Rattus norvegicus: one gene and its partners. The protein of the gene in region 1 purifies or fractionates together with the protein of each later gene. This does not show direct contact. Links are inferred from orthologs where the notes say so. Each region holds a gene or a part of one and is shown on either strand. Other genes may lie near its edges. The genes, in order: Eif4e, Eif3b, Angel1, Hhex and Eif4a1.

What was found.
Region 2: the proteins of Eif4e (region 1) and Eif3b purify together in Homo sapiens (affinity purification with western blotting; 5 studies listed by BioGRID and IntAct, with this or other methods). This does not show direct contact. The link is inferred for Rattus norvegicus from reciprocal best matches to the Homo sapiens genes EIF4E and EIF3B.
Region 3: the proteins of Eif4e (region 1) and Angel1 purify together in Homo sapiens (affinity purification with mass spectrometry; 3 studies listed by BioGRID and IntAct, counting the BioPlex papers as one, with this or other methods). This does not show direct contact. The link is inferred for Rattus norvegicus from reciprocal best matches to the Homo sapiens genes EIF4E and ANGEL1.
Region 4: the proteins of Eif4e (region 1) and Hhex purify together in Homo sapiens (affinity purification with western blotting; 3 studies listed by BioGRID and IntAct, with this or other methods). This does not show direct contact. The link is inferred for Rattus norvegicus from reciprocal best matches to the Homo sapiens genes EIF4E and HHEX.
Region 5: the proteins of Eif4e (region 1) and Eif4a1 purify together in Homo sapiens (affinity purification with mass spectrometry; 8 studies listed by BioGRID and IntAct, counting the BioPlex papers as one, with this or other methods). This does not show direct contact. The link is inferred for Rattus norvegicus from reciprocal best matches to the Homo sapiens genes EIF4E and EIF4A1.

The regions. Positions count from the first base shown.
Region 1 is NC_086020.1:229,737,720-229,744,187, forward strand, and holds the start of Eif4e (eukaryotic translation initiation factor 4E), read left to right. Parts: upstream 1-3,033; 5' UTR 3,034-3,046; coding exon 3,047-3,064; intron 3,065-3,466; exon of another isoform or gene 3,467-3,538; intron 3,539-6,468. UniProt on the Homo sapiens protein: Acts in the cytoplasm to initiate and regulate protein synthesis and is required in the nucleus for export of a subset of mRNAs from the nucleus to the cytoplasm which promotes processes such as RNA capping, processing and splicing.
Region 2 is NC_086030.1:19,312,916-19,318,583, forward strand, and holds part of Eif3b (eukaryotic translation initiation factor 3 subunit B), read right to left. Parts: intron 4,185-5,668; coding exon 4,112-4,184; intron 3,031-4,111; coding exon 2,908-3,030; intron 1,611-2,907; coding exon 1,532-1,610; intron 957-1,531; coding exon 818-956; intron 1-817.
Region 3 is NC_086024.1:112,080,293-112,085,960, reverse strand, and holds part of Angel1 (protein angel homolog 1), read left to right. Parts: intron 1-1,095; coding exon 1,096-1,165; intron 1,166-3,159; coding exon 3,160-3,323; intron 3,324-4,003; coding exon 4,004-4,164; 3' UTR 4,165-5,668.
Region 4 is NC_086019.1:244,600,776-244,607,160, forward strand, and holds the start of Hhex (hematopoietically-expressed homeobox protein HHEX), read left to right. Parts: upstream 1-2,169; 5' UTR 2,170-2,180; coding exon 2,181-2,544; intron 2,545-4,494; coding exon 4,495-4,673; intron 4,674-4,864; coding exon 4,865-4,915; intron 4,916-6,385. UniProt on the Homo sapiens protein: Recognizes the DNA sequence 5'-ATTAA-3'. Transcriptional repressor. Activator of WNT-mediated transcription in conjunction with CTNNB1.
Region 5 is NC_086028.1:54,881,174-54,886,351, forward strand, and holds the end of Eif4a1 (eukaryotic initiation factor 4A-I), read right to left. Parts: intron 4,902-5,178; exon of another isoform or gene 4,759-4,901; intron 4,256-4,758; coding exon 4,087-4,255; intron 4,006-4,086; exon of another isoform or gene 3,864-4,005; intron 3,766-3,863; coding exon 3,656-3,765; intron 3,566-3,655; coding exon 3,422-3,565; intron 3,346-3,421; coding exon 3,208-3,345; intron 3,123-3,207; coding exon 3,033-3,122; intron 2,993-3,032; exon of another isoform or gene 2,850-2,992; intron 2,791-2,849; coding exon 2,711-2,790; intron 2,600-2,710; coding exon 2,455-2,599; 3' UTR 1,920-2,454; downstream 1-1,919. Other genes in the region: Cd68 (macrosialin precursor), read right to left, coding at 1-74, 188-266, 399-518, 650-1,095, 1,178-1,220. UniProt on the Homo sapiens protein: ATP-dependent RNA helicase which is a subunit of the eIF4F complex involved in cap recognition and is required for mRNA binding to ribosome.

The DNA of each region.
Region 1 (6,468 bases):
ATATAGGCCAGCATCATAGCCTCTCTTATTCAGTAGCTTGACTTTTTAAATCAAACTTTTGTTTTCTTTTTATCTTTTGGCTTTTTGAGATCAGGTTTCTCTGTGTAACTGAGCCTTGGCTGTCCTGGACTTGATTTGTAGACCAGGCTGGCCTTGAACTCAGAGATCCACCTGCCTTTATTTCCTGAGCACTCTGACTAAAGGCATGTGCCACTACATGCACAAGCCCGGGTGTGGTAGTGAGGTGATGACTGGGCCCAGCTATCCCTTTAGTTCCAGCTTCTTTGGAAGACTGGGTAAGAGGATCCTTTGAGTGTATGAGTTCAAGACTGCCTTGGACAGCATAGACTCTAACCTCACAAATATGTGATAAGTAAGCAAAATGAAAGTGATTGCATACAGGCAGACATAACACATAAAATCTAGCCTCCAGATATTTGACAGGATGAAATCCTAAGTGTCGACACTAGGCAAACACATCTGAAATGGTAAAAATAGTCAATAAATCACATACAGATATAGAGATCAATTAAACTATATAGAATGGGGCATACTATGAAAGCACACATCTTTTTGTGGGGCACAGGGGTACTGGGAATTGCATCCAGTCTTAAGCAAACTAGGCAAACATTCTACCCCTGAGTTACACACCCTAGCCCAAAATATGAGTCTTCAGTAACAATAGAGGAGGAAGGTTGAAAAAAAAAAAACAATACAAACAAATGTTATTTAAAACAAAAATTTTATATTGGTGGCTTTCAGGCTCGTCAGGATATTTTCTTGCCAATGGATTGGTTTTTGCTGTAATCTTGCAGCTCAAAACAGGATATTTATGCTGTCTTTTCCTTTCTTTGGATAGAGATTCTCCTGTTTCTTTGGCTGGCCTGGAACTTGGCATGTCACTGAGTTTAAACTCCGGATCCTCCAGCAAGCTGGGTTTATGTGGTGTTGTGGGATCTAAAACAGGGCTCTGGGCTATATGAGTACTCTATCAACGGAGCTACAAATCAGCCTCCTAGTGCTGTCTTTTCATAGGAATTAACCAGACATCACTTTACAGACAACAGAAAATAAGGGGTCAATTGTAATCACTTCGGTTAGTGTAACAGATTTGTACAGAGAAATTCACCTATGTTTAGTTTGCAGAACTGTGTCAACTTTAGAATCTACTCCTGCTGACTAAGCAAAAGCTTTCGTGTAAATCGCTTCTGCCATCCTGGTAAACAAAAAAACACAGAGCCCCGCAGTGGCTCTGAGTTCTTACACAGCCTCAATTATGTGTTAGTCAACCCAAGCATCCATTATGTACTCAATAATAGTTAATAGCTGTGACACAGCTCGGGACAACACTAATGCCATGGAGAGGCCGGCGCAGAGATAGCCTGCTTTTCCTGGTGGTAACATTCTTAAGCTTCCTGGAAACAGCTACGAGATCCTGTCTTCCTCATTAGAACCTTTACTCAACACGGTCTTGGTCTTGAGAAACGATGGCCCAGTAACTTAGAAGAAAATGTGGCATGCCAGTGTAGGGGCAAATTTCTGCTTGTTAGAAGTTGTTATGAACATAATTTCATGAACATGAAGTTTCTGTTGGGAGCAGCGACATTCGTAAAGAAAAGCAAAGTCTTGAAACTTTAAAACTGCATTGGTGTACGTAACAAAGTAAACAAAAGAAAAATTTAAAACATTGTTAAGGGTTGGGGATATAACTCAGTTGGTAGAGTGCTTATTTAGCACTCCGAAGCCCCGAGTTCCATCCCTCTCAGCAAAAAAGGGCTCTCCCCGCCCCCACTACCAGCACGTGCCAGTAATCCCAGTACTTTGACAGGGAGGTGGAGGCAGGAGGATCAACAGTTCAAGACCATCCTCCCCTACATCTTAAGTTCAAAGCCACCGTGCGCTACAGGAGACCCAGGGTCAAGAAAAAAAATTGTTAAAACAGCAGCGGAGGCGGAGGCAGCCGGTGCTTAGAAGGCACGCGCTTGCTTCTAGATTCCGAAGCGTTTTCAAAGCTGGTTACAGTCCTTACCACAGCACACCCTTGTGAGGTAAGTGTATTATCATCTTTGGTTCATAAATGAAAAAGCTGAGGCGCTGAGTGATTAAGTCACTCGCCTAAGGAGCATGAGTCAACGTCAAGAGTCATAGTTGACCCGGCTTAACGACTCCTGACCCTCAGTCCAGGGCTGAGTCAGCGGAGCCCGGAGTGGCTTCCCTGGCTGGCACCTGGACGTAGGCTATTTCCGTTCACGTCCAAGCAGAATACTGGAACCGATTGGACAGAACTTTCCAAACTTTTTACGTCCAGCAAGATTCACCCCTGACGCCTTCATCTCAGGACTGGGAACAGGAAAAGCCGACGCGTGCACTCCCCTTCCCCAAGCGTGTGAGTGGGTACCGTGGGCAAGCCCGCCCACCCGCTTGGGCAGCGATGGCAGCAAGGGACCACCCGCGTTAGTGGACCGGGGACGGGGGAACGCAGACCTCATCAACGACTCTCCATCGCCGCCTCTTTCTGAAACCAAGAGAAAATGGTGGGAGGCGAAAAGAAAACTAAATAAAAACACAAGCAACTTGTCTTAGGACCTCAGCTAAGCAAATGAAGCCTTCTTGCGTGTGCTGAGCCTGCAGTTCTCAACCTTCTAGGAAAGATGGGAGGACTGGGCGACAGAGGGCACAGCAGGAATGCCCAGCAGTGAGAGCAACCGGAGCTCTGCCCGCTGCACCGCAGAGGCCTAAAACCTACTCTGCAGGAAGTGCGGGCGGCGCTGGGAGCCGCGCACCCTCGCCAGCGACCACGTGATCACTTTTTTTTTTTTTTGGGAGAAAAAACTTCCTTGCCTTAAGAGAAAAAAAAAAAAAAAAAAAGAGACTCCACTTCCCAGAAGCCTCTTGTTCCCCAAGCAGCTGCAGTCTTGCGCAGGCGCCGCCAGGGCCAAACGGACACGTCCGTCACGTGGGCAGGAGCCGGCCAATCCGGTTTGAATCTCATTTTTTTCCTCTCGCCCCCCCTTCAGGAGCGGTTGTGCGATCAGATCGATCTAAGATGGCGACTGTGGAACCGGTGAGTATTGCCTTCGGCCCCCACCCCCGAGGTCCCCGCGCTCTGGCTTCCTCCGCTCAGGGACTGTCCGCAGGACGGCGTTCCCGGCGCGCACAGCGCCTCCGGCCGCGTCCTGCCCCTTTCCCACCGGCCTGACCTTCCGCGGGCAGCCTCGGCGCCGGGAGGCTGGCGGCGGCAGCGTGGAGCGCACACGCCGTGTGGGGGCCCGGGCACCGGGTCGGTGGGGGAGGGGCGCCGCGCGGCCCTGCGGTGCGGCCGGCGGAGGGCGGCTCGGGCCGCCAGCGCGGGATCGGTCTGGGGTCCCGGTGGGCGTGGGGCGGGCGGCTCCTAGCGGGCACCGTGGTTGGCGGGGCGGGTGGGCGGCGAGCTGGCCTGAAAGAGTCAGAGGGAGCCTGAGGCAGCGGCGCCTCGCCGTCGCCCGCGCCCCGCCGCCGGGGTCCTCGTGCGGGCCGCGCTCTCAAGCTGTGGAGGAGGGTGGGTTGGCGGAGCCGGTGGGCGCGCGGGGCCGGGCGGGCGGGGCGCGGCAAGAAGGGGAGCGCGTCCCGCGGGGAGCTGGGGGCTGTGGCGTTGAGTGGAGAGCACGCCCAGGGGTCGTGTCGCGCACCTCCGGGGGCCGGGGAAGGGGGCCGGCCGAGAAGGTGATCACATTGTCCTGGCCCCTCCACGCCGGGACTGGGCTGTCATGGAGGAGGGAAGGGGGAGGAGCGAGGCCTACAGTTCGCTCCAGCGGGTCGGCTGGCCGTAGACCTGCATTTCACACGCGCCGGGCTTCCATTCATTCATCCTCCCGGCGCAGTGCGCACGCCTCCGAGGACCGTGTAGATTCTTCTACTCTTACGCGAGGAGATCGTCTGGGAGATACTCAAGGAACACTAATTTTGGAAATAGGAACTTTGGAGATTATCTTTTCTTTAATTAAAGGAAGGAAAATTAAGCGTGGGGGCAGCGGCGCGAGCCAGGGCTTGAGTGTGAAGGTCAGAGGGCAGCTTTTGGAGTCCTGAGAATCGAAATTCAGGAGCCTTTTCCGAACCATCACTTAAGCGCCTCAACATCTGCTTTTCCACTGATGATTCCTCCTCACTCTACACTGCTTCCCTCTTAATTAAAGCGCTATTTTGAAGTTAATTGAAGCAAGATGCACAGAGAGCATCACGTAGGTAAACCCGGTAGCCAGAAGGTGGTGATTTTTTTTGTTGTTGTTTTTGTTGTGGTTTGGGTTTGCCGGCAGCTGGCTCACTGGTCTTCCATCCCAGATTTTTAAAGAATGTCACACCTGTGTGATAAAAATCTCAGGTGCAAAAAGGCATAGACTAGCAACCAGAAACCTTTGTATACCACCTTTGCCAGATATTTTTAAAACTCACCCATAGACTGAATAATTTTGATTAGTTTGCAAAACAGCCTTATCTTGGCAGAATTCAAGACTACTTTTTTGTGGGTGGAGGCATGATTTACTTGTTCCTTATTGACATCAGCTTTCCTGCATTTTGCAAAGCTGCCTAATAAGTTGTTAGTGAAATTAACTAACTTTAGAATATCAATGTAAGAACAGGAGGGGAAGCATTTAAATTTAACTTAAACTCTTGACAAGTTCTGCCGTCTACTTCTGACTGAATCTTCTACCTTTCTCTACCAGTATTAGAGGAAAATATTACAGGTAATAATAGAGGCAAAACTAAAAAGACCTAAGTAATAAAACAGCAGTGTGAACTATGACTCTCAGTTCCATTTAAGTCTTGGATTGTGCTAAAGCCACAATGTAGTCATTGGATTTTGTTCTGAGTCAGCTCAGAGTTGCTGATACCTTTTGGGTGGTTACCAAGTGATATTTAGAATACAAAGTTATATAAAATGCGGTCTGTGCTTTGTGAGCTCTTATGGAGCCTAACTGCCAGTGTCAGGCTCAGAGGTGAGATACTCTTCCTACTGATGACCCTGTTGATGTGCATAGTGTGTGTAAATTTAAGGACAAGAGAAGCCTAGAAGCCTAACATGTGAAGGGTGGAACTTGGGTTGAAACTAGTTGGAGACAGTGTGCAAAGTGACACTGAGGTGCTCATTTTCTGTTTACTGTTAGCACACCCTTGCTTAGAGGCTAGTCATACAGTATTTTAATATTTGTAAGATTTTTTTTTGGAGCTGGGCGGTGGCTGCGGGCTACTTTCATCCCAGCACTAGGGAGACAGAGGCATTTCTTTGAGTTTGAGCCCAGCTTGTTCTACAGAGCTAGTTCCAGGATTCCCTCCAAACTGAAAAGATTTGGTTTGGATGCTTGATTTGTAGCTCAGGACCTGGTGCATTTACTAAGTTTATTCTAGCACTAAACTACACCAGTACGTTGTTTTTGAAGTACTTTATTCAGAGGCTTGGCAGAAAGGTTGTATGTAGAAGCCCACGTTGTCTGCTGTCCTGTGCAGGGCAGACCTTAGAGGTATCCCCATGGCTTAGAGCACACTAGTACTTTTTAAAAACAGATGATTTAGTCTACTATTGGATTACAGTTGAAGCTTGTAAAAATTAAAAATCTTATTTGGTCATTGCTATTTTTATTTAGCTTATGAGCTTTTGTGAGTTTTTTGTTTGTTTTGGTAGAGTATTTAATTGTAAACACTTAGAACACTGGTTCTCAACCTGTGGGGTGTGACCCTTTCGGGGGGGGGGGTGTCTAAGGACTGAGCTGCCTAAGACCACCAGAAAATACAGATATTTACATTGATTCATAACAATAGCAAAATTAGTTAGAAAGTAGCAGTGAAAATGGTTTTATTGTATTGGGACCACTATAACATGAGGAACTGCATTAAAGGGTCACAGCTTTAGGAGGGTTGAGAACCACTGACTTGGAGAGTCATGAGCTGTTGATTTTTCTCCCCCTACATATCCAACCTTTTGTAAGCACTTGCCAGATTTTTAGTCTATGGAGTTTCCATAAAGTAATTTTCAATTTGATGCTACATGGTTTTAAGTATTCGAGCTTAGTTATGTAAGTAATGGGTTACAAATATAAATTGAGAAGTTCAAAGGGGAACATTAAGGGAAGTACATTGCTCCACAGAACTTGTGGCAAAGGCTACACTCATGTTAAGCTGGGAATTGTGGCACGGTCAAGATTAGACTCTGGTAAAACTGTCCTCAGCCATGTTTCTAGTGACTCGTGCTTCTTTTAGATAGCTCGCTTTTCTTCTGCTCTGTTTTTCCTTGTTATTAGAGAATACTTTACATTAGTCTTTAATTAGAGGATAATTTCTTGTGGTTTTTACTTTTGGGTTTGTGTAGCCATTGTTGGCTTGGAACTTACTATTTATTTGGACCAGACTGGTTAGCCAAAAATTTGAGGTGGGGGTGGGAGTTCTTCCTATACTTTCTCAGTGTTGGGATTTACAGGTATACAGCACCACACCTAG
Region 2 (5,668 bases), on another chromosome or scaffold:
CAACCTGTGCTCTGGTTGCCCAAGACACAGCACAATGGAGACAGAACCAACCCCTGCCCCTCCTGCAGGGGCCTGCTGATCACTGGTCTATGACCAGAACCTTCTACAGCAGTGCCAATCAGAACAGCAGCAACTACAGCTTAGCTTTCCTGGCAGGACTCTTAACTGAGCTCTGACTCAAACGCTGGGCTCCCTGCTGCCAACCCGCTCTTTAGGAGTTGTGTGAACTAAATGGCCCAGTCCCACACGGGCTTGGAAGACTCTCACTTCCTTCCCTCCCCTTTTATGGAGGTGGGAGATGCTGGGGTAGAACCCAGGCAGCTGCTATGCACTGACATTCCCAGTCCTACAAGATGCTAAATTAAACAAGTGTTGGGATGGGCTGTGCTGCACTGGCACTTGGGATGGGTTCCAGACAGCACACCCTGGAATGAACGAACACAGAGAGTGCTATGCCAGATACTACTCAAAGCCATCTGGCAAGCAAGAGGTCATCTCATCAGCTGGAGCCCTCTGAGCTCACAGGTTTTGTTTGCATGGACTGGCTCAATTGTCCACCCAATGGTAAACACAGGAGGCAGTGACCCATGCTCCAGCAGGCCCTGCCAAGCAGACATGCCCAATGCTCTAGCAGCTGGCCTCTCAGCAGTGAGTTTGAGAAACAGTGGACCAAACTGTCTCCCTAAGCCACAAAAGTTCGTGAGTAATGCCCTCTCACCCTGGGGTCCCTGGATACAACAATCCTACAGAAAACAGTATCTGTCCCTGGCCCTGAGAGACTTCATTCCCCAAGGGCCCAGCACCTGCCATCGTCTACCTTATGGCTCCACCACGACACAGAGGTAACCACATAGCGGCCAGTTGGGTCCCATTCGACGTCGGAGGCCATGTAGTGCTCTGCAATGTTCATGACGGTGCAGTCTGAAGTGTCGACAAACGCCAAGGCGCCATTCATGCTGTGGGATGACAGGGCAGCTGTATCCCACAATCCCCTTGCACCCTACTGAGAGGTCCAATGCCCCTCACTCCAACTGAGTTACAAGGGTGAGAAAGGACCAAGGGCTCTGCTGGGCTGAAGTTAGTTCCCTGGGCCCTATCGCCCTCACAGTGACAAATTTCCCAAGGACATGAATGGTGTACTCAGTGCTCTGTGGCGTCTAGAGAAGATGTTGTGTGTGGAAGCGTCCATGGTGGGAGCAAGCCACAGTAGTCCTTCCCAGCAGAGGGCAGGGCTGGACTTGCTCACTACTCCTATGTGCTCAGCTGGAATGCAGGGGAACAAGTGAAAGGCACCCCAACCAGAGGGCAGGACAGCCTCCAGCTATGCATCTGTCCCACTGGAAGACGTGGGATTCACAGGAGGGGTGCACGGCTACGATCACAGAGGACATGTCATCTGCAAGTCACTACTTCAATCAGCCTGGTTTGGCCAGAGGCTTGGCTGTGATAAATATCTAGTGAGATGATGCACTCCACCAACACAAACCATCAGGAGCAGGACGCTGCCTTAGCGGGCAGGGCCCCAACCCACCTCCTCAGCCCGGCCAGTACCACGAACTGCCCCTGGGGACTCCAGAAGATGGTATTGGCTTGCTGCTTGTCAAACATCTCTGCAAGGAAAATAAGTTCCTGTGAGGGACTGTGCCGGTGCCTCTCCAGCTAAGACACAGTGCCACACTGGTGAGGAGAGCTGACAGAAGCAGAGTGCACATACGACTCCAACACAAACCCACCAGCCACTTTGGGAGAACTATTTCAAAATCATACCCCCGCCCCCGTTCAGTTATGCCTAAAGTCATGATGCATGCTTCTGGGTGGTGGCTGCTGGCTATTACAGAAGTCTGGTGGATACTATTTTCAGCTTCACAGGCAAAGACTGCACTGACAGCAAATACACTGACTCATCTCGGGAGCCCTTAGTGTCCACCAACAGCACCATGGGCCAAGCTACCAAAATCACCATCTTTCAGTGTGCTTACAGAACATCAAGCAAACCATCTTCCCAGTCACCCTGACCCTGGGTGAAACTGACAAAGCAAATGCGGCAATAACCCAGGTCACCCAAAGCCTCTCTCAGTCTTGGCAAAACAGCCATCTTCCCATATGGGGGGTGGGGAGGGGAGAGTCTCACATTCACAGAGAGCTGCAGGACAAATGTCCCATCTGGCCCCAAAGCACAGAGGAGCATTGACTGTGACCCTGGTGAGAGCTGAATCACAGAGATCCGGGGGATAAATGACACGTCTCCTGGTGTCTGTTATAATGGGACAGAAACCTTTTGATTGTCTGCAATTGTCCACCTCTTACATATCCAAGAGAACCAACACCAGAGTGGACTTTACAACACACTAGCTAATTCTGTCACAAATGGTTAGACCCAGGTGAAGGGAAAGCACACTGTTCACAGAAGTCCAAGGAAACCATGGTATGACTGCTACAGCAGAGGGAACAGGGTAGCTGGTGTCCTATAAAGAACTTATGAAATACAGCCTGTATTTCCATCCCAGTGAGGGCAACACTGTGGGTTTAGGTTCAGCTTGCCCTAAGCCCTAACCCTGCTGTGGGGCTGTCACAACAAAGACAAGAAGAGTAGGCAGTAGCCCTTTGGGAGTCTAAGCAAGGCCACACGTGGCCCCCATGCCAAAGGGGAGTGTCTTTTAGGTGAGCCCTGCTGCAGGAAAGGGAATGAGAACACCCCTTCCTGCCGGAGCCGAGCAGAGGACTCAAGGGCTAAGCCAGGCTGAAGGGCAGGGGCAGTAAGGCCCAACTTACTGACTCACTCCAGGCTCGGTGGATATGAAGTATGTGCCCCCTGTCCTGAGTCATCCCAACCTGCTATCATCTCCCGCACAGCTAGAATCCCGGCCCCTGAGCTCTGCAGAGAGAGGCCAAGGGCAGACTACTCACTGATGAGTTCAATCTTCCCATTGCTCTTCACGTGGTAGAAGGAGACAGATATCCGAGGGGCCTCACCATGAAGCACAGCAAACTTACTGCCATTGGGTTCCCAGGCAAAGGCTATGATGGTCTCTACAACCAGCAGGAAAGAGGAGTCAGTTGTCCTAATCTTTCATAACAAAATCTCCATTTTCAAAGATCTTCATTCAATTGGAGAAAAGCACTCCTAATCTACTGGCAGGACCACAGATCAAAAGACAGCAAAAGCAAAGAGAAGTCAGCAGAGTTCAAAAGCACTTGGTTTATCTGGTTGGGATGTTGTGTTAATAACAAGTCCAAGCCAGCCTAGAACTTGGACTGTTCCAGCCCTGGCTTCCTGCAATCTATGATCACAGGCAGGTGCCACCAAACTGTCTTTCCTTAACTGACTTAAGGACTTAACAACTTAGCTGTGGTCTTCTATAGTGAAACAAACTGAAAGCCAATGAGAGGCACAGGCACTAAGACTAAGGATGGAACTAACATATGAGTAAAAGTACATCAACCTTTATGTTGCTGGGCGGTGGTGGTGCTTGCCTTTAATCCCAACACTTTGGAGGTGAAGGCAGGTGGATCTCTATGAATTCCAGGTACCAAAGAATACATAGTGAGATCCTGTCTCAAAATACCCCACTTAAAAAAGAAATACTTTTATTTTTTCCAGAGAGAAAAAGGGAAGGCAGGCCAAGCCTGGTGGCACAGGCTTACAATTCCAATACTCGAGAGGCCAAGGCAGAAAGATTGGTGTTCAAGAGCAGATGGGCATAGAACGAATATATTTCAGACACAAACAAAATCAGTCAAAAATACAACCAGCAGGGGTTGGGGATTTAGCTCAGTGGTAGAGCGCTTGCCTAGCAAGCGCAAGGCCCTGGGTTCGGTCCTCAGCTCCAAAAAAAAAAAAAACCAAAAAACAAAAAAACAAAAATACAACCAGCAAGAAGCTCTTCAAGGTAACTCCAGGCATGGTGTGCCCCTGTAGCCCTATAATGGGCAGGAAGGCAGGCAGGAGGGTCCTGTGGCTAGCCAACCTAACCTATGTGCAGATCTAACCTAGGTCAGGGTGATCTGGGGTAGCTGCTCTTGCTGAGATCCCACTTCAGTACGCCGCTCTGAACACCTATCTCACATAGAAGCTGTACAAGACAAGGGCACGACGGCCCTTCCTGCTTACCTTTCATCTCAACAACGTCAACAGGAACCTGCTTCTCCCTCATTCGGAAGATTTCAAAATTTGTGACAACTCCCTGTTGACAAAAGCAAAACAGGAAGGGTAATTCTCTGGAAGGTGAAGGCATGAAAATATGGGGGTACAAATAATGATCAGACAGAAGACAGCACTCACTCACCAGCACACCCACAACCCTGATGTGGTGCCGAGGCTGGTATGACAGCATAGCCCAAGCACACTCTGCAGCACATCTACCGGAGTTTACCAGAGGGAACGATGGATTTGCACACTGTAGAGCAACCTGCACCATGACCTTCAAAAGCACTAAACCCAGCAGCAGACTCAGTAACTACTCGCCCACCTTAATGCCAGCCCACTAACATGTGGATGCATGTGTGTGCTGGAATACCAGTCAACTATGAAAAAGAATAGAATGAAATGCTGATGCATGCTACAATATAAAAAAAGGTGAGGTCTGGGGCTGGGGATTTAGCTCAGTGGTAGAGCGCTTGCCTAGGAAGCGCAAGACCCTGGGTTTGGTCCCCAGCTCTGAAAAAAAAAAAAAAGAACCAAAAAAAAAAAAAATAAAAAAAAAAAAAGAAGAAGAAAAAAGGTGAGGTCAGAGAGGCTGGACACGAAGGGTCACAGGCTGCAGGGGAATGTTCCTAACAGAGACACCCAGAGAAAGCAAACCAGAGGCTGTCGGGAGTGAGGAGAGGAGAAGGATGGAGGCATAGCTCAATAGAACATTTGACCAGCAATCAGGGGGTTGTCTGAATGACACCGGCATAGGGACAAAAAATAGAAGGGTGGACCAAGGAGCAGTGTGGAAAGGAGAGGCAGCTTAGCATGCCTGTGTGACCTACTAAACATATCCAAAGTCAGGGAGACGGCTCGCCACTTAAAAGCATTTTGGTATATGAATTACATCTTGAGAACAATTAGTTGGGACAGGCTTGGTAGTGCGTGCCTGTGATACAGCACTCGAGGCTAAAGCAAGAGAATCACTGAGTTCAAGAATACCCAGAACCAAAGGCCAAGACCCTGTCAGAGTCAAGACCCGTCAGCAGTCAAGAGTGCTGACTGCTCTTCCAGAGGTCCTGAGTTCAATTCCCACAACCACATGGTGTCTCACAACCATCTGTAATGGGATCCAATGCCCTCTTCTGGTGTCTGAAGACAGCTACAGTGTACTCATTTATAAATAAATCCTTTTAGAAAAGGAAAAGCTTGGGTGTCACTGTGTATTCCTGGATAGTCTGGAATTTGCTATACAAACCAAATTGGTCTTAAACTTGGAGATCTGACTGCCTCTGCCTCCTGAGTGCTAGGGTTAAAGTCATGCACACCATCCCTAGACACTGTTTTTTGGATGAGAAAAACATAAAATTACATAAACAGAAGCACATTTGTATGCAGAAATGTGAAGTCCACCTGATTACCAGGAAAGCAATCTATCCCTTTCAGCTTCTAGTATGAGTGGCTGAGAATCTGAGGATGACACTACTGTATTTTCCCGTGAGCTCAGAACTACATGAAGTGATCAACCCTTAAGGCGGT
Region 3 (5,668 bases), on another chromosome or scaffold:
ACTAAGTACCATTACCCACTGAGCCATCTCCCTGTAATCTGTTTGTATAGTTTATAGTGTTAGCTTACAGATTTTTTTCCCTATAGATTATAAATGACAAATCAACTCATTGCCCCCCCCTTTAAATTCTGGGCTCTGTACTTTACACTGAGGCCCAGCTGAGGCCCTCCTCCATGCTTGAGTTTAGTAATTTGATTGCTAAGAATTTGTCAGTGTCAACCCTTGTTATTTTATTAATATCAGCAAATGTGCTGGTTGTCACCTAAACAAAAGATAGGGTCATCTGGAATGTGGGGACCTCAGTTGTGAAAAAGTTCCCACTCCTGTAGGAAGCCTTGGGGTGAGGCGTGTATGATGAATGGTTGGTGTGGGAGGGCCCAGCCTGTTGTGGGTGGTGCCACCCCTGGGCAGGTGGTCCTGGATTATATAGGAAAGCAGGCTGAGCAAACCAGTAAGCAGCACCCCTCCGTGGCTTCTGCTTCAGTTCTTACTCGAAGTTTCCTGTCTTGAGTCCCTGCCCTGACTTCCCTCAGTGATGGAGTACGTAAGCCAAAACCCCTCTTCTCCCCAAGTTACTGTCCATTCTGGTGTGTATCACAGCAATAGAAACTGGACTAGGATAGTGAGATTTGTAAAATACCTTGTTTTTTTCTGATGTTGGCATTTGTATTTTCTTTATGAATGTATATACAACATAGCTGTGTGTATGAACATGTGTGTCTATATATGTACTACACAGTGGATGGTGTGTGATAGAAAATATCTAGAGGAAAGTATAAGGAATTTGATAGCATTGGTTGTCCCTGTACAAGAAAAATGAAATGCAAGGGGTGAGTGGAAGGACTCTTGACTGATTAACTTTGTTTTGATTTTTGAACCATATGACTATGCATACGTAAAAAGTGCAGAGTATTAGGGGCCTCAGGTTTCCAGCCTTGGTTCATCTCCCCGTCTCATGACTGTTTCTTTTACCTTCCCTCCTCCCAAACTCCTGGAGCAGTGCAGACTGAGAGGGATCTGAAGGTGAAAGGTTCTGACTCTGTTGTACTGTCTATGGAAAACAAATCCCCACCTCTTTTTTCTGGCTTCCTACAGATCGACCTGCTGGTTGGGCCGAGTGTATCTTTGAGGAAGAGATATCTGAACTTGAGCCTGTCTTCCCCAGGTAAACGTGTTTGCAGTTTTTAGTCTGAGCATGAGAGAGCACTGGCTATACTGAGGCTGACTGGAATACTTTTTGCTAAGCTCTCAGTCTTCCACGGTATGCTTAGACAGCACATGCATGCATGCGAGAGTCAAGGTGAAAAGCCTGTATAGCCTTTCCTTGAGGGAGAAGCCTCTGAGCAAACTTGCTGGTCCTGCTGGTCCACATGAGAGACATTGGTGTTCTTTATCAGGAGAATGGGAAGTGGGGATGAGGAGTATCAGGGTCTCAGTGTTCATCTGTTTCTAGACTGAGTTCAGCTGAGATCGCCAGCCGCTTATTAATATGGGAAGGAATCTGCTGGTTGAATAATGTATTGATTTTCCTGTTGCTGTGATAAAAGGTCACAAGGGAGAACAAAGCCGTACAGATACAGATACAAAGCCATAGTGAATGTCAAGGCTTTGCTTGCTTTCTCCTTTTGTTAAGACCAAGACCTCTGCCTGTGGAAGAGTGCCACTCATTTGGTCTTCCTGTCTCAGTCTATGTAATTCCCCACAGGCATGCCCAGGGGTGACTCTAAAATCCTGTCAGGTTGACAACATAAACCATTGCAGCTCTACCCCTCGGCTAACCACATCACTTCTAAGCCAAATCTTTGTTCTCCATGTTCCCATGGGTTCATGACAGGTTCATGAGGCAAATGTATTCAGCCCAACATCATAAGTTCCCATGTCTAGCAATTCCAACACTATTTAAAATTGTAGGTGAGGAGACTCAGGAAATCTCTTAAATGTAAGCAAGCCCCTGTATAGTAAAAGGGAAGTTGGATGTGGAGGCATACATCTTTCATCACGGCACTCATCTCTGTGAGTTTAAAATCAGCCTGGCCTACATAATGACGTCTAGGCCAGCTAGGGCTACATAGTCTCAAAACAACAAAAACAAAACAAAAACTAAAAGCAAAGGTGAAGCAAAACAAAACCCAAACAACAACAACAACAACAACAACAACAACAACAACAACAACAACAAAAGAAGTTACGTATTTCCAACATAGAATGACACAGAGTAAACACTCCCCTTCCAAAGGACTAGGACCCAGCAGGGAAAACACTAAGTGCAGCTCCATGTTGGCATCTAGGGCTCATGATAGAATCATCTGGAGTCCAAAAGACTTGGGTAACCCCACCTCCAGCTCTGCTGCCTGCAGCACACGTTGTTTCTCCTTTGGGCCAGCTCTGTTCCATTCATCCGGCTTCCCTTGGTGAACGTTCCATGAGTCATCTCTAAAGGTCCTGCTATCTTAGTTACTGCTCTGTTGCTGTGATGAAACATGACCAAGGCAGATTTTAAAAGAAAGCATTCAGTTGGGGGTGGCTTACACTTTCAGAGGATGAGTTCATGGCCATCATGGCGGAGAGCATGGTGGCAGACATGCACAGGGAGGCAGCAGTAGCTGAGAGCTTACATTTTGATCCGCAGGCAGCAGGCAGAGAGGTGGGTGAGAGAGGTGAGAAAGAGGGGTGAGAGGAAGAGAAGAGAGAAGGAGAGGAGACAGAGATAGATACACACACACACACACACACACACACACACGGGGTGGGGGTTGGGAGACACTGAGTGGCTGAGCCTATTGTGGGCTTTTGAAACTTCAAAGCCCACCCCCAGTGACACACTACCTTTGAGAAGGCCACACCTCCTAATCCTTCTCAGACAGTTCCACTAACTAGGGACAACGCATTCAAACATGAGTCTATGGGGGCATTCTCATTCCAAGTACCATACCTGGGGTCTCCAGGGAAACTCAGACTTTATCTTCATAACCTACACAGCTATACAGAACTTCCTTTCAAGGACTATAACCCAGCTATACATTGTTGGGTGTCAGCAGCATCTGAAACCATCATTAGAGATTATCCTTTAAAAAAATCTCCATAAAACCCACGGAGAAATTGGCCGGTGGGAAATATAATGTGTTTTGTTAGCTGACTTCTTACCTTCTGTCCCTGTAGGACTATAGGCACCATCCAGCACTGCCTCCACCTGACCTCAGTATATACCCATTTCCTGCCCCAGCACGGCCGCCCGGAGGTCACGACGATGCCCTTAGGTCTTGGGATGACAGTGGATTACATTTTTTTCTCAGCTGAGTCCTGTGAGAATGAGAACAGAAGTGGTAAGACCATTGAGTCAGGGGTTTCTAGAAGCCACCCCAGGATGCCTGGGAATAGCAGATGGCAGGTTGGGTTTTGGTGGCTTGGCTTGGGCTCCAGGAGCAGATGTCATACCAGCTTTGTGCTCATTCTTTATGCAGGCTACCTACCTTACGTGCTGCTCTTTTCCTGGGGTGCCAGGGCTAGGGCAGGGAAGTCATTCCTAGTTCCACCATGGAGATAGAAGTATAGCATGAGACGTAATTAGACTTGTCTAAGGGCAGAAGTCGGGGAGGGACTTGGTAAGGTCAGACCCTGTTTTTTCTTGCCAGTAGTCACAATGAGCAGTTCACTAGTCCCATGCCTAGTTTGCTTATTATTTTTAGAATGTTTGAATTAATTGCCTGTTTAGAATCGTTTTATATAAGGAATCTATATTTCTGTACCTCTTGAAAAATCAAAAACCTTGTAATGTTAGGTGCAGGACCTACCTGTATCCTATTTGTTCCTGTGTCCCTGTACCTGTCTTTATTCACTGATGTTATCACAGGGAAACCTTCTAGTCAGAATGCCAGATGTTGTGCGTGTGTGCGTGAGCGCATGTGTGCGTGTGTTGTGTAGACCATTTAATTTAAAGTGAAAGTTCCACCATGCAGTACAGCTGGTGGCTGCTGCACCTACTGGCTTCTGCTTTGTGCCCCAGATCACAGGTTGGATCGAGATGGAACCCTCAAGCTCCTGGGCCGCCTCTCCCTCCTCTCTGAAGAGATTCTCTGGGCGGCCAATGGCTTGCCCAACCCGTTCTACTCTTCAGACCATCTCTGCTTGCTTGCCAGCTTCGGCATGGAAGTCACTGCCCCATGAGGGCCCCCAGGGAAAGAGCTCACTGGACCGACGACTGCAAATGCCCCGTGCTGTGGAAACTTATGCCCCTTCCCTTGTTCCCTCCTGCCCGTGGTTAGACTTTCTCCAGGCCTGTCCACGTTCTCGGCCTGTGGTCCCTGCCCTGCCCCAACCTCTTCCTAATCCTGTGCCACATGCTAGGTGGCCCCGGGAGAGGTAGAGAGCATCCCCTTTCTTCTGTGTACCCAGCGCCCCCTTCCCCCCCATTGATTTTTAATGACCAGGGTTGCGGGAGTTATTGATCTCATTGGTTATTCGCTTTAGGCCATTTCTTGGTGGCACCCTCTGACCCAACCTTCCCCTTCCTTTCATGACCTCTGGGCTCTGGCATGCACATGCAAGGTGTGTGTAAAGCATGAGTTCTCTTGGGGTGGGACTGCCCAGCACAGCCAAGCCTGCTTCTGCCTAGTCCATGTGCCACCATGAGGTACTGGACTAGGGGCAGGTGGAGAGCATGATGTAGTAGCTGTGTGCTGCCAGGAGGCAGCAAGCAGGGGCCCTTTTCTCCCAGTCAGTCATCTAGGCATCCTGGGCACACTTGTTATTTCTGGAGACAAACTGGCCCACAGCCTGGAGCGGTAGCCCAGGGATACCCCACACCTCTGATCTCCTCACTGACTTCCTTGAGGAAGGCGGTTGATGCCTTGTGCTGGGGCTCGCTGGGCTGGCACAGTGCTGGGAGGCTTTAAGGATGAGGAGACTCCACCTTCAGGGAACTGTTGTCTCACCAGACTGAGGAACTGGGTAAGAGGCGGAGCCCGGTAGAAAGAGCAGGAGGCTCTACAGCCTTAGCCAGCACTGGAGCCCCAGAGGGCTTGACCTCTGACCTCTGTGCACCTAAGAAAGTTTCTTTGCTTCTTCTCCCCACCCACCCCCACCCCCTCTTGTTCCCTTCCATTTTCTCTCCGGAGAAGCGTGCTGTTTAGCTCAGGCCAAAACATCTCAACAGAAGCCTGGCTTTGGGCACACTAGGTCTAAGAACTCAGGGTGGCAGTGCTTACTCATTTGCTCTGCCTTTCCTCCCCAAAAGTGGGCTCCCTAACCTACAGAAAACCCCTGTAGCCCAAACCATGTCACCTGCATGCCTTATTCAGTGCTGGGGTACAGCCTAGGGTGTCCTTGGGCCAGATCCTCCACACAGCTTTAACTCAAAATATCTGCTGGCCCTAGTTGGGAGGGAATTGACTGAGGCTGGAGTTAGGCTTGGTGGACCAGGAGCCCCATTCTTCCCTTGATTTGGAAGCCAAAAACCCAGCTGGAACGCTGCTGCTGCACTGCTGACTCTCAGCTTCCCATGCTCAGGTCTGGGGACTTCTTGTCCTGTGTGTGTCTATTTTAAGTTTTGTTCTCTGGGTACTGGGCATCTGCCTGTCTGAGCCCCAGGCCCATCTGCCCACAACCCACTTTTCTCTGTCACTCTCTGGGCACCTCCTGAGATGGCCCCACAGCTGAGCCCTGCTGGTTC
Region 4 (6,385 bases), on another chromosome or scaffold:
CCTGAGTCCTTGTGTTTGCAGCATTAGAGAGACTATCTCCCAGGGGCTGAGCCACCTCACTGGCCTCAAATGTTTTATATTTTTCTGGCATTCCTCCGGCTTTCCCACCCACCACTCCTTTATTTCACTTGAGTTCACTGAGTGCCAAGATAGTACCATTTACTTCGTGTTTTCTAAGCTTCGCTACTGTGTATGATGTGCCATGGACTTCTTCTTTTCCAGTTTTTAATACTGGAAACTTTGAAAGCTACCATGCAGATAAAACTATAGCACGACAGGAACCTGCATGTTCTTCCCAACTAATATTTTGTACTGTGGAATCCCTTCTCCCTTCCATCATGTCTTCCGTGGATCGAAGCTCAGGTTACCGAGCTAGCACCTCAACGAGGATGTATTTTTGAAAGCTTAAATAACCGGGAGTTTGCCCACTTCTTGGAGCCCCTTCAAGCAAGATGTTTTTGCCCTCACCAGAAACCTCACAAGGTTTAGTTCTCCAGCTATTCAGTTTACTGTCTTTCCAGCCCTGCCCCCTCTTCTTCATGGCGGGTGCGGTGTGAAATTAATCGTGTTTTCCTCCTATGGTTCACATAGAAGAGTGGACACACGGATATATATCCTTATTAGGCCCCAAGGTTTTAATTCAAATAACAACGCTTGGCACTCATTTGGTTTGTCTGTGCTAGTGGCTTTTGCCTGTCATTATTCTGAAAGATGTCCGTGACTCCATCCCCAAGCAGTTAGGAACCTTTATGTCAAGTCCCAAACGGGTCAGGTGAGAAAGCCCAGGGCAGTAAACTGACCTGAGACTGCACTCAAGCACTCCTCTGACTTGGCCTCATCTTAGGCTCCTTGACACCTACTTATCTTTCAAACATCATTTCCTTTGAGAAGACTTTTCCTTTCTCAAAGTGACTCTCTCCTTTATCCGAAATGAAGGGCCGGAGTTCCTTAAGGTTTCCGACCCTAACACATGATTTCTCCCTAGTATGTAGGTTACTGTGTTCGTTTCCGGCTTCCACTAGGGCAGAGACCGCCTCTCTCATTTGCTAATGACGCACAGTAGGTGCTCAAGTAAATAATGCGCGAAGTGAAATCCTGGTCCTCTGGCTACCAGTTTTCTCTTTCACCTTCAGTCCCATTGCAGATGAAGATATAATTCCAAAAGATAAAACTTAATATCTCAATTGAAAAAACAAAAATGTCAGAGTTTTTCTATTAATAGAAGACCTTAGCTGAAACTGCCCAACTCGAGGTGTGGTCACCACAGGAGGGCGTCAATCAAGAAAATGCCCCTTTGGCCCAGAGGCGAGCAAGCCGCAGAGTCGAGGACACACTGAGCAGCGAGCCACGGCTTTGAATAGAAAACACGTGTAAAACCTCAGAGCCCGGCTGCGTGCAGCTGCGTCCTTCAGGGCCGGGGGACAGAGGTCCAGGAGCCTCCCACACCCCATTGGATCGAAGAACACTGCATAGCCTCGGTCCTGCACCAGACGCTGTCTTAAAACCGGTCTGGAGCAGATTCTGTTAGCATCTAGGGAGGTGGTCGAGTTAGGGGGGTCCCCAAATAGAGTCTGGAGCACCTGCAGTCTCGCTGTCAGTACCCGTCTGGGACGCAGACAGCGGCTAGGGTCTTCTCCTTGGAGCTCCGAGCTGCGGAGGCCCCCCCGTTCGAGACAGTGCCACCGTTACCCCAAGCGCAGCCTCCTGGGAGATGTCCCAGGCGCCCGAAGGTGCCGTCCTGCCCGCGGCTCCCTGATCCGCAAAGTCCCATCGCTTCTCCAGGTGCCAGAGGCCTCCCGAGTGTCGGCAGTGGCGCCATCCCGCTGGGATCCGCGCCTCCAGTGCATACCATGTGTTCTCTTCGACGGTCGCAGTCGCACACTAGGTGCCTGGAGCCTCTGGGAGCGCGGGCGGCGGAGGAGCCCCGGGGCGGAGGGTCCCTAGAGCTCCGCGGCCCGTGCGTCTCGGGGGCGGGAGCTGGGCCGGCGGGGGCGGGTCAGGGCGGGGGCGGAGGCGAGTCCGAGGCCCGCGCCATTGGCCGCAGGGCCTGGCGGCAGGAAGGGACCGAGTGCGGCCCCACCCCGCGGCGGCCAGAGCCTATCGCCGGGAGCGCAGAGCGCAAATAAATGTAGCGCGGCCGCGCGGGCGGGCAGCTCTCTCCGAGGGGCTGCGGAGCAGCCATGCAGTTCCCGCACCCGGGGCCCGCGGCTGCGCCCGCCGTCGGAGTCCCGCTGTACGCGCCCACGCCGCTGCTGCAGCCCGCTCACCCGACGCCTTTCTACATCGACGACATCCTGGGTCGCGGGCCCGCCGCTCCCACGCCCACTCCCACGCTGCCGTCCCCCAACTCCTCCTTCACCAGCCTCGTGTCCTCCTACCGGACCCCGGTGTACGAGCCCACGCCGGTCCACCCCGCCTTCTCGCATCACCCCGCCGCCGCGCTGGCCGCTGCCTATGGCCCCGGTGGCTTCGGAGGCCCTCTGTACCCGTTCCCGCGGACGGTGAACGACTACACGCACGCCCTACTCCGCCACGACCCCCTGGGTAAGGCGGCCGGGGTTGAGCGAGGGCGTCCGTGAGGAAGGCGCTCCCGGCGGGAGGCGACGGGGGCGGACGGGAGGCGCAGTCGAAAGTTGCGGTGAGCGCTCTGGCGGGCGCGCGCGGGGACAGAAGGCGCGGGGCCCCGGTGGCGCGCAGCCGGTGCTGGGACCGCTCGGCGACTCAGATTGCTTTTCTTGCACCTTGCAGACATCGGGGCAAGCGTAGTCGGGAGAGACCTGGGGCTCTCGGGAAAGTGGTGGAGGGCGGCCCTGGCCACTCGTGTGGGCCCCGGGAGGGGTTCCCTTAGGGAGCAGCACTGGGAAGAGGACGTCGGGACGCCCGGAGCCTGGCCCCTGCAGGGCAGGGAGAGCTGCCGGCCCGGGCGGTTCCTGGGCTGGGCTTGGTTCAACAAGCTTGTGCAGTGAAGGAGCCTGACCCTTTCCGTTCATACAGGAAATCTTGAGTTCTCGATAGGAGTAAATCTGGTTTCTGAAGCTGTTAAGTGTTTTCCTGGCTGCATGAAGCAGACCCTTCCCCCGGAGTAGTGCACGCTGCTGATTATTTTATCGACATCCTCAATACAGACAAATTCAGGAAACACTCGACGTCTGATAGCCAGGATCCGTTTTTCAGATATTGTTCATTTCCTCTGTGTGGGATGTGACTATATGGCAGCTAAAATAACCAGTTGCTTCCTCTCTGGCTCCCCCCGCCCCCCATCTTTGGAGGCTGTTTTGCACCAAGTCTGAAGCCTGACGCAAGCAAAATCTCGAAAAAACAATGCCAGCTTTCAAAATGTTTAGGTGTAGGCCTGCGGACAGAGAGACGGACGGACGGACAGACAAACGTACCATCATCACTCTGGAGTAGGAAGGTGCAGATCCCAAACAGATAGGACTCTACACATTGACTACATGGGATTTTTGAGGCTTGTCCCCACAATATTCCTAAAAAATAGATAAGCAACGGTGACTGGGTTCAGGGCCTCAGTCCCTCGTAGCCAGCGAGCGGGCTCTAGAGTGAATAAGAACCGGGCTCGCTAAAGTTTAAACTCAACAGTTTGGCAGCTTAACCGGGGACTCCGAGACAATTAATATTTTAATGAATTGGCATTTTAGTGTCCGCATTATTAAGAGCAGCCTCCAGCGCTCCTCTCTTCTCACCGCTACAGGGATTTGGGGTGTGGGTATTTTTGTTTGTTTGTTTTTGTACGTAAATTTTGTATTTAAAAATGTCAGCATGTAGAGTGTGTGTGACCACCCCCAACTCTGTACCCTCTGGGGCAGGACCGGTCCCGGGCAAACGGTTTCACGTAGCTCGCCCTGGTTTCCTTGGGTTTCTGCTAGGCCTGAGCAGAAGGAAGCAAAGCTTTTTTTTTTTTTTTTTTTTGAGACAGACCAACAGGAAACACATTGACGGAAATGTTGCCATAGCCCATGGGGTGGCTTTAACTGGCCGCCCCCGCAGGCTGAGTGTGAAATCAGAGGAGGCCGGGGCGCGCTCGAGCCACATCGGAGGCCCCACTCGAGGCCTAACACCGGCGCCCTCCGAGCGCTTCTGTGCAGCCAGGCCCTGGGAAGTGTAACAACCCTGCTCCTCTCCTAAATGCACACAGTGCGTCTTTTGCAAATGTTAGTGCATACAGAAGAGTCCGTTCGGTTAAATAAGATAAGGTTTAAGCCCGGCAGGGGTTCTTTGGGGGTTGAAAAGATTTGTTTGCATTTAGCCACAGGTGTGTTGGGCGGCTAGTGCGTGTCTTGAGTATCCAGAGGTGATCTGTGAGGCAGAAGAGTTTAGCTGACTGTGCGCATTGGTGGAGAGTAGTGTGGAAAGGATCCGTATTTTAATGTCCGCTTTCTTGCCTCCCCATTGTGTCACTGGGGACCATGTAGGTCGGGGAACCGTACAGAGGGACCTAGGGCCTTGGTTCACCACAGCTTTTCTGGCCCACAGGCAAGCCCTTGCTCTGGAACCCCTTCCTACAGCGACCTCTGCACAAAAGGAAAGGCGGTCAAGTGAGGTTTTCCAACGACCAGACCATCGAGCTGGAGAAGAAGTTCGAGACTCAGAAATACCTCTCCCCACCTGAGAGAAAGCGTCTGGCCAAGATGTTGCAGCTCAGCGAGAGACAGGTCAGACGCTCCCCCACACCCTCACTCCCCACCCCCAAACACACCAGCTAGCGAGAAAGTCATTAAAGTCATTGCGCTGTGGGCGCCGCAGTATACCACAACCCAGCTGCACGGCCCCATAGCCCAGGTCCCTTCTTCCTAGGTCCCTCAGGATTTGGGACTTTCTTGCAAATCTGCTTTCTTTTCTGTAGGTCAAAACCTGGTTTCAGAATCGCAGAGCTAAATGGAGACGACTGAAGCAGGTATGGACGTGGCTCTGTTTCTATGGAAATAAATGTTTGTGTCGGTGTTATCTAAATGCGGAGGCCTGTTACGGGTTGTATGCAAAAGTCATTTGAGAGACTATTTAACCTCTTCACCTTGATTAAAAAAGCAAATACTCCTGCTGAAATCCAGGATGAGTCGCTCAGGTGTCACTAATGCTAAAAGCACCTAATGCAGTTCCTATATCCATTATGCCAGGGTTTCACACACCGGCCAGCAAACCGCCCGGCTAATTGTTTTATAAACCCCATATGTTGTTTATCTCATTAACGCAGGAAAGATAAAGTAATTGACAGTAAATGACTTAAGTAGTTATCTTTGGGAGAAAATTGTTTCTTTTATTTACACACCCATAATAAAACCAGGCAGGACTCAAGGGTAAATATAAAGACACAAACACTGTTAAGCCCTGTTTGCACTTTTTAAGAAAGAAGACTTAAATATCAAAAGAGTTTTCAAAGTTATTACCCATCCTGGGCCAGCTCTTAAAAAAACGAATATGAAACGCAGGAAGAAATGCCCTCACCCGATTGGAAAGTAACTTAAACTTCCTGATAATCTTTCGATGACCTTGTTAAGAAATAGGGAATAGAGAGGAAAGGCCAAGTCCCCCTCCAGAGCAGCCCTATTGACTTAGAGCTAAAGATTTGCTCTTGCTGTCCCAGTCTGGACATTTCCAGAGTCACCTGACAACTGCTGAATGGTTCACCTGGCAGTGCTTTAAATAACAGAATACTTTGAAACAAAATAACTTGGTAATGGGGAGGTTTTAATGTGAATTGTAAACTATTGCTCCTACTTTTAAATTTTTCTTAAAAAAAAAAATGCTGTCCCAAAAGAACATTTTGAAACAACAAAATAGCTTCCTGTAGCTTCACTGTTCTTAAATATTTGAGGATTCCCTCTCTCTAACCTTGTACATCTTTTGCAAACTTGGTGACTAGAGAATGATAGGGTTTCTGTGTAATACTTACATCCAGATCAGACATCTACATGCCTTAAAAGCCACTGGCTGGACTTGGCTTGAAGTAGTTTCCCAAGGACTTTTAAAATAGTGCTTTCTGTGTAATATGGAAAAACATTCCTTCCAGGAAATCTTGCCTAGATTTTAAGCAAATTGCAAACTCTTTTATCAGTATTAGTTTGGTTCTGTGATTTTTTTTTTTTTTTGTGACCGCAATCTTGTAATTTGGTACATATTTATTTTGTATGTATGTTCTGGTAAATTTACTAAAGAAAACAAATGGAAAGGGATTCAATCTAATAATTTTTCAGACTTTTAATGTAGTCTATGTTGTTCCTCTTCTCCTTGTCTTTTTCCTCCTCCTCCTCCTCCTTTTCCTCCTCCTCCTTCTATTCCTCTTTTTCCTCCTCCTCTTCTTTTTTAGGGGATTAGTTACTTCCCACTAATGATCGTTCTTTTAAATGCTAGAAAGACCCTGTTGGGG
Region 5 (5,178 bases), on another chromosome or scaffold:
TCCGCAACAGAAGCTTTGGCCCAGGGGAGCTTGGAGCTCTTGAAGAGATGAATTCTGCGCTGAGAATGTCCACTCTAAAGTAATTAGTAATTAAGATTCAAATCTAGTCCTGATTCCTGAGTCCCCACCACCACCCCAGCACTTCCAGTGTAGACTTTTAGTGTGGTAAAGAGAAGAGGTTGCTCACGTGCTGCTTGTGGGAAGGACACATTGTATTCCACTGCCATGTAGTTAAGGTAGACTGTACTGTGGCTCTGATGTCGGTCCTTGAGGTGAACAGAAAGGCTCAAGGCATCAGGGACAGTGGCATCCATGTCCATAGAGCAAGGAGGAGGCTTAGGGGGTCTAGGGGTGGGATATAGAAGAGTGAAGGAGGAAGACAAATTCAAGCTGTATACCTGTTTGAATCCAAAGGTAAGCTGTCCGTAAGGGAATGAGAGAGCCAAGTGGGGATGGGCACTGTCACAGCCCCCCTGGACCTTGGTTTTGTTCGGGTTCAATACAGAGAGGCCCCAGGCCTGCAGAAGTGAAAGAATAGTGGGTCTGAAGTCACATGAATGGCACCCAGTTTATCCCTTCTGCTCTTCCTCCTCCCTTCTGAACCAGCCCAGGGCTTGCCTCTGGCCTTCTTTAAGCCCTACTACTTTACCTTTTTTCCACCCTGGGTCAGGTACAAGATGCGAATTTGAATTTGGGCTTGGAGCTGAACACATGGCTGGGAACCATTAGTCCATGTGTAGTTTCCAAGAGCCCCAGTAGAGCTTGGACTAGGACTTGGTGAGGGCGGAGGTGGTCCAGGGTGAGGGCCAACAGTGGAGAAGCCTGGACTGTTTGTGGTGGGAGAAACTGTGGCATTCCCATGACTGGTGGTGGTGGGCCTGTGGCTGGTGGTGGTGGGCCTGTGGCTGGTGGTGGTGGGCCTGTGGCTGGTGGTGGTGGGCCTGTGGCTGGTTGTGGTGGGCCTGTGGCTGGTTGTGGTGGGCCTGTGGGTGGTCGTAGGGCTTGCTGTGCTTCCGGTGGTTGTAGGTGTCTCCGTGAAGGATGGCAGAAGAGTAGCAGCCTTTTTGTGAGGACAGTCTTTCCCTGTTCCTTGGGCTTTCATTAAGAGATTAGTTGATAACCCAGGTGCCGGCTCCTGCCCAGGAGCTCCCTCTCTCCCACCTCCCATTCTCCTTACCTACAAGCAGTACCAGCAAGGTCAGACACACAGGGAACCTCATGGTAGAGCTGCTGAGTCCAGCTAGGCTGTAACAGCTCCTTCCTCAACCCAATCCCCTCTTCTCTTGGAAGAGGAAATGAAAACTCTTACTTCCCTTAACCAAAGTAATCCCACCCCAAACCTGACTCAGGCACCTCAGCTCTAGCCACCCGCTAAAGTAATTTAAATGTTTTCACAATTAAGCACTGATTGGTAGTGGCCTTCTCAGTGGGCGGTAGTCTTAGTTACCATGTGAGGATGAGGCAGTTGACTCACACGGAACTTACCTAAGCCAAAACTTGCTCTACTTGGCAGTTTACAAAGCAGGCAAACAGGAAGCCTTTTCCTCATTGGTAAGAAATTCACCCTCACCCATGTGCTTCAATCCCAGCACTGTAAGGCAGCAAGCAGACCCAAAAGGCCAGTTTGGCCTATATAACCGCAGGACAGCAAGGGCTACAGAACCCAAGGTAATTAGCACCCACATTTGGGTTATGACTAACACCCAGTTGAAGTCTTTGAACCCATTACTACTTTTTCAAAACTGGGAGCAAGTGACACTTGTGTCTTGTGCTAAAGCCCACTACCAAATTTCAGTAGTGTGGGTCATTTGGTATTTCAGGAAGCAACATGGCAAATTCAGGAAAGAACTAGTGCAGGGGCAGCTGAACCACACTAGTAACTGCAGGAGAGGGAAGGGAAGAAACAAGAAGCCCAAACAGGCAGTTTCCAAGTAATTTTATTCAGAATTTTGTGTTTGTTTCCTGAATCAATAAATACTATACAAAACAATGTAAAAATGGCTACCATTTTCTCTCCCCTGCTCCCCTCACCTGGGGACAAGTCCCTGGACAACCTCATTCAGGGGGTTCTCCCTGTAGATTTGGTCCAGCAAATGAGGCCAGCCATGTTTTAGCCCCTTGACTCACTTTTGGAGATTTGGCTGGGGTAGGAAAGCCTTTAGGAATGAGGTGATTAGGTTAGGGAAATGCATTAGTGTTTGGGGGGGAAGGAGACGGCGCCTGGGGCAGAGCCTACCCCAAAGAAAAGGGTGTCTAAAATGTTCACGGTTCCTTCTTTTTGCCTCAAAAAGTGACATTTATTCAAAGAGAGAGAGAGAGAGAAAAAAAAAACAAAACAAAAAAACAAAAACAAGATGTCCATCCCTTGGCTCCCTTCCCTCCCCCCTCCAGCTGTTCCTCAGCCCTGCCCCCAGGACTGAACCCTGGGCTAGGGCCAGGTAGCAGGACAGCCCCTCAAATGAGGTCAGCAACGTTGAGGGGCATCTCTTCAATGGAGGTGTTGTAGAAAGTCTCAATGTCTCGAAGAGTCCTCTTGTCTTCTTCTGTCACCATGTTAATAGCCACACCTTTCCGGCCAAACCGACCACCTCGACCAATTCTGGGGGGGGGGGGGGGAGGTTAGTTTAAAAAGGCGTTAGGTTGGGGAAAGGAACGTGTTTTTTTTTTTTTAAGCACAGGGAGTGTTTGATCTGTCAGACCAGGTAAATACCTGTGGATGTAGTTTTCCCTGTTGGTGGGAAGGTCATAATTGATGACTAGGGAGACCTGCTGCACATCAATGCCTCTGGCCTAGGTCAAGAAAGAATAAAGCCATCAGAGGACACTATCAACCCTAATTTAGTAAGCATATATGTAGGCTGCCAAAGGAGGGCAAAGGAAACAAGTATTCCTTGTTCCCCAGAGACCTTGGACATGCCTGGCTTTCTTCCAAGTTGCTACGTTCCTAAAAAGGGCACATAGTCAGCCCTTTGGAGAGGGAATCACCTTGGGCTATTTTCTCCCTTTCTTTCCTTAAAAGAGCATCTACTCACCAACAGGTCAGTGGTAATTAATACTCTGCTAGAGCCAGACCGGAACTCCCTCATGATCACGTCTCGTTCCTTTTGGTCCATATCTCCATGCTGGAAAACAAGGTTAGGAGCAGCTAGCATAAGGCTCCTAACACACAAAGACACATCTATCATTAACAAGACTGAGAAAACTCACCATGGCAGAAACTGTGAAATCCCGGGCATGCATCTTCTCAGTGAGCCAGTCCACCTTCCTTCTGGTATTAATAAAGATTACTGCCTGGGTGATGGTCAGTGTTTCATACAAGTCACACAATGTGTCGAGCTTCCACTCCTGGAGATCAGGAAACATCAATCAGGAGCTATACCCAACACTTATTACCAGGCCCGCCTCCTGCACTGGGCCCCACCTCTCGTTCCACATTGATGTAGAATTGGCGGATACCCTCCAGGGTCAACTCTTCCTTCTTGACAAGAATCCGAATAGGGTCTCTCATGAACTTCTTAGTCACCTCAAGGACATCAGAAGGCATTGTGGCAGACAGCAAAACTACCTAGTGGGAAAAATGCCCCAGCCATGATTGAGTGCACTGTACAATCAAATCACAACCGAGCCACCGTCCCTCCAACACCATCTGTTTTACCTGTGTGTTGCTGTTGAGCTTTTGGAATATATCATAGATCTGATCCTTGAACCCACGGCTTAGCATTTCATCTGCTTCATCCAGGACGAACATCTTGATGTATTTGGGTGCTAGATGGCAGGAAAAAAAAAACCCCAACATATAGTAATCAGACAAATGTGAAATATATTGAGGTCTCTTGATAAGGCAGGCAGAAGGCAGACAGTCTGCTCTCAGAATGCAAGGACTGATCCTTTGCCCTCGGCTTCCCTGATAGGTCATGCAAAAGCCCTGGTAAGTAGAACACTACCTGGGCTAAGGTTAACAGGGAAGCCAGGCTCAGATGACACGCATGGGGTTCATCACAGAGCAACTCAATTCCAACTAAAGGAAAACTCATCCAAGGAAATGAAATGTAGAAAAGAGCCCAACAACTGTTCCATGGCACTCACACAGGTATCTCCGGTTAAGCATATCGAACACCCGGCCAGGGGTGCCCACGATGATATGGGGAGCTTCCATTTGCAGCTTCTGCACCTCAGCACGCACGTTGGTGCCCCCAATACAGGCATGACAAGAGGCACCCATGTAGTCTCCCAGTGCCATAACCACCTTTTGAATCTAAATGTAGAAAGGCATCTACATTAACTTGGGCAGTACCAGTGAGTTAAGTCTTTCTTATTACAGACAGGAATTATCCCACTCTTAGCAACTGAGAAACAGGAATCCACTTAATCCTCTTCCAACACCACCAATACCGCCACCAAATGGCAATGCTGGATCCGTCCACACAGGTTCACAGTAAGTTTCCCACTCTACATGCAGCCTCATAAAAACCAGGCCAGCTCTACAAACAACTCACACTACATCCTACTACTCCATTCCAAAGGCTGAGATTATGAACACAGCCCTATCTATACCCACAAGGTGATTATTCCATCCCTGCTACAGAACCAAGACTTAGTGATCCATGCTGAGCTCATAAGCAAACCCCCAAAATAAGTAGATCTACAGGGTTCTAAGGTGTCAATCCTCTTATCACGTCTTGCTTACATTGCTACCCAGATGCTTGCTTCAGTGATCACTAGGCTTGAAATAGTAGTTAACAGACTAGCACCAGGATTTCATGTGCCCTAGGCATGAAACAGCTTTGGCCACCAAGCCAGGCATCAAGCTAGGATGAACAAAGGCCTACATCTGCTCTGCCCCTGACTGATATAGGAACAACACCACCAACATGGTGTCTCCTTGCCCATGTCCAGGGGGTGGTATGTTTGTTGTAAACACAGTTTAACCTGCCCAGCCAGCTAGATTCTAACAATACTCTTCCCTTCCTTATTTGACTCAGAAAATGGATTTAAAGTGCTTTTTTTTCCTGGTAGAAAAGTTGTTAGTAATTAGGCAAACCAATCTCAATAGATCTAGAAGCTGTCAACAAATCCCAGTGGCATACAAGAGCGTACCTGACCTGATCTTCTAATTGTCTCTTTAAGACAAGCTTTCTCTAAGTGTTGGCTGTCCTGGAACTAGTTTTGTAGACCAGA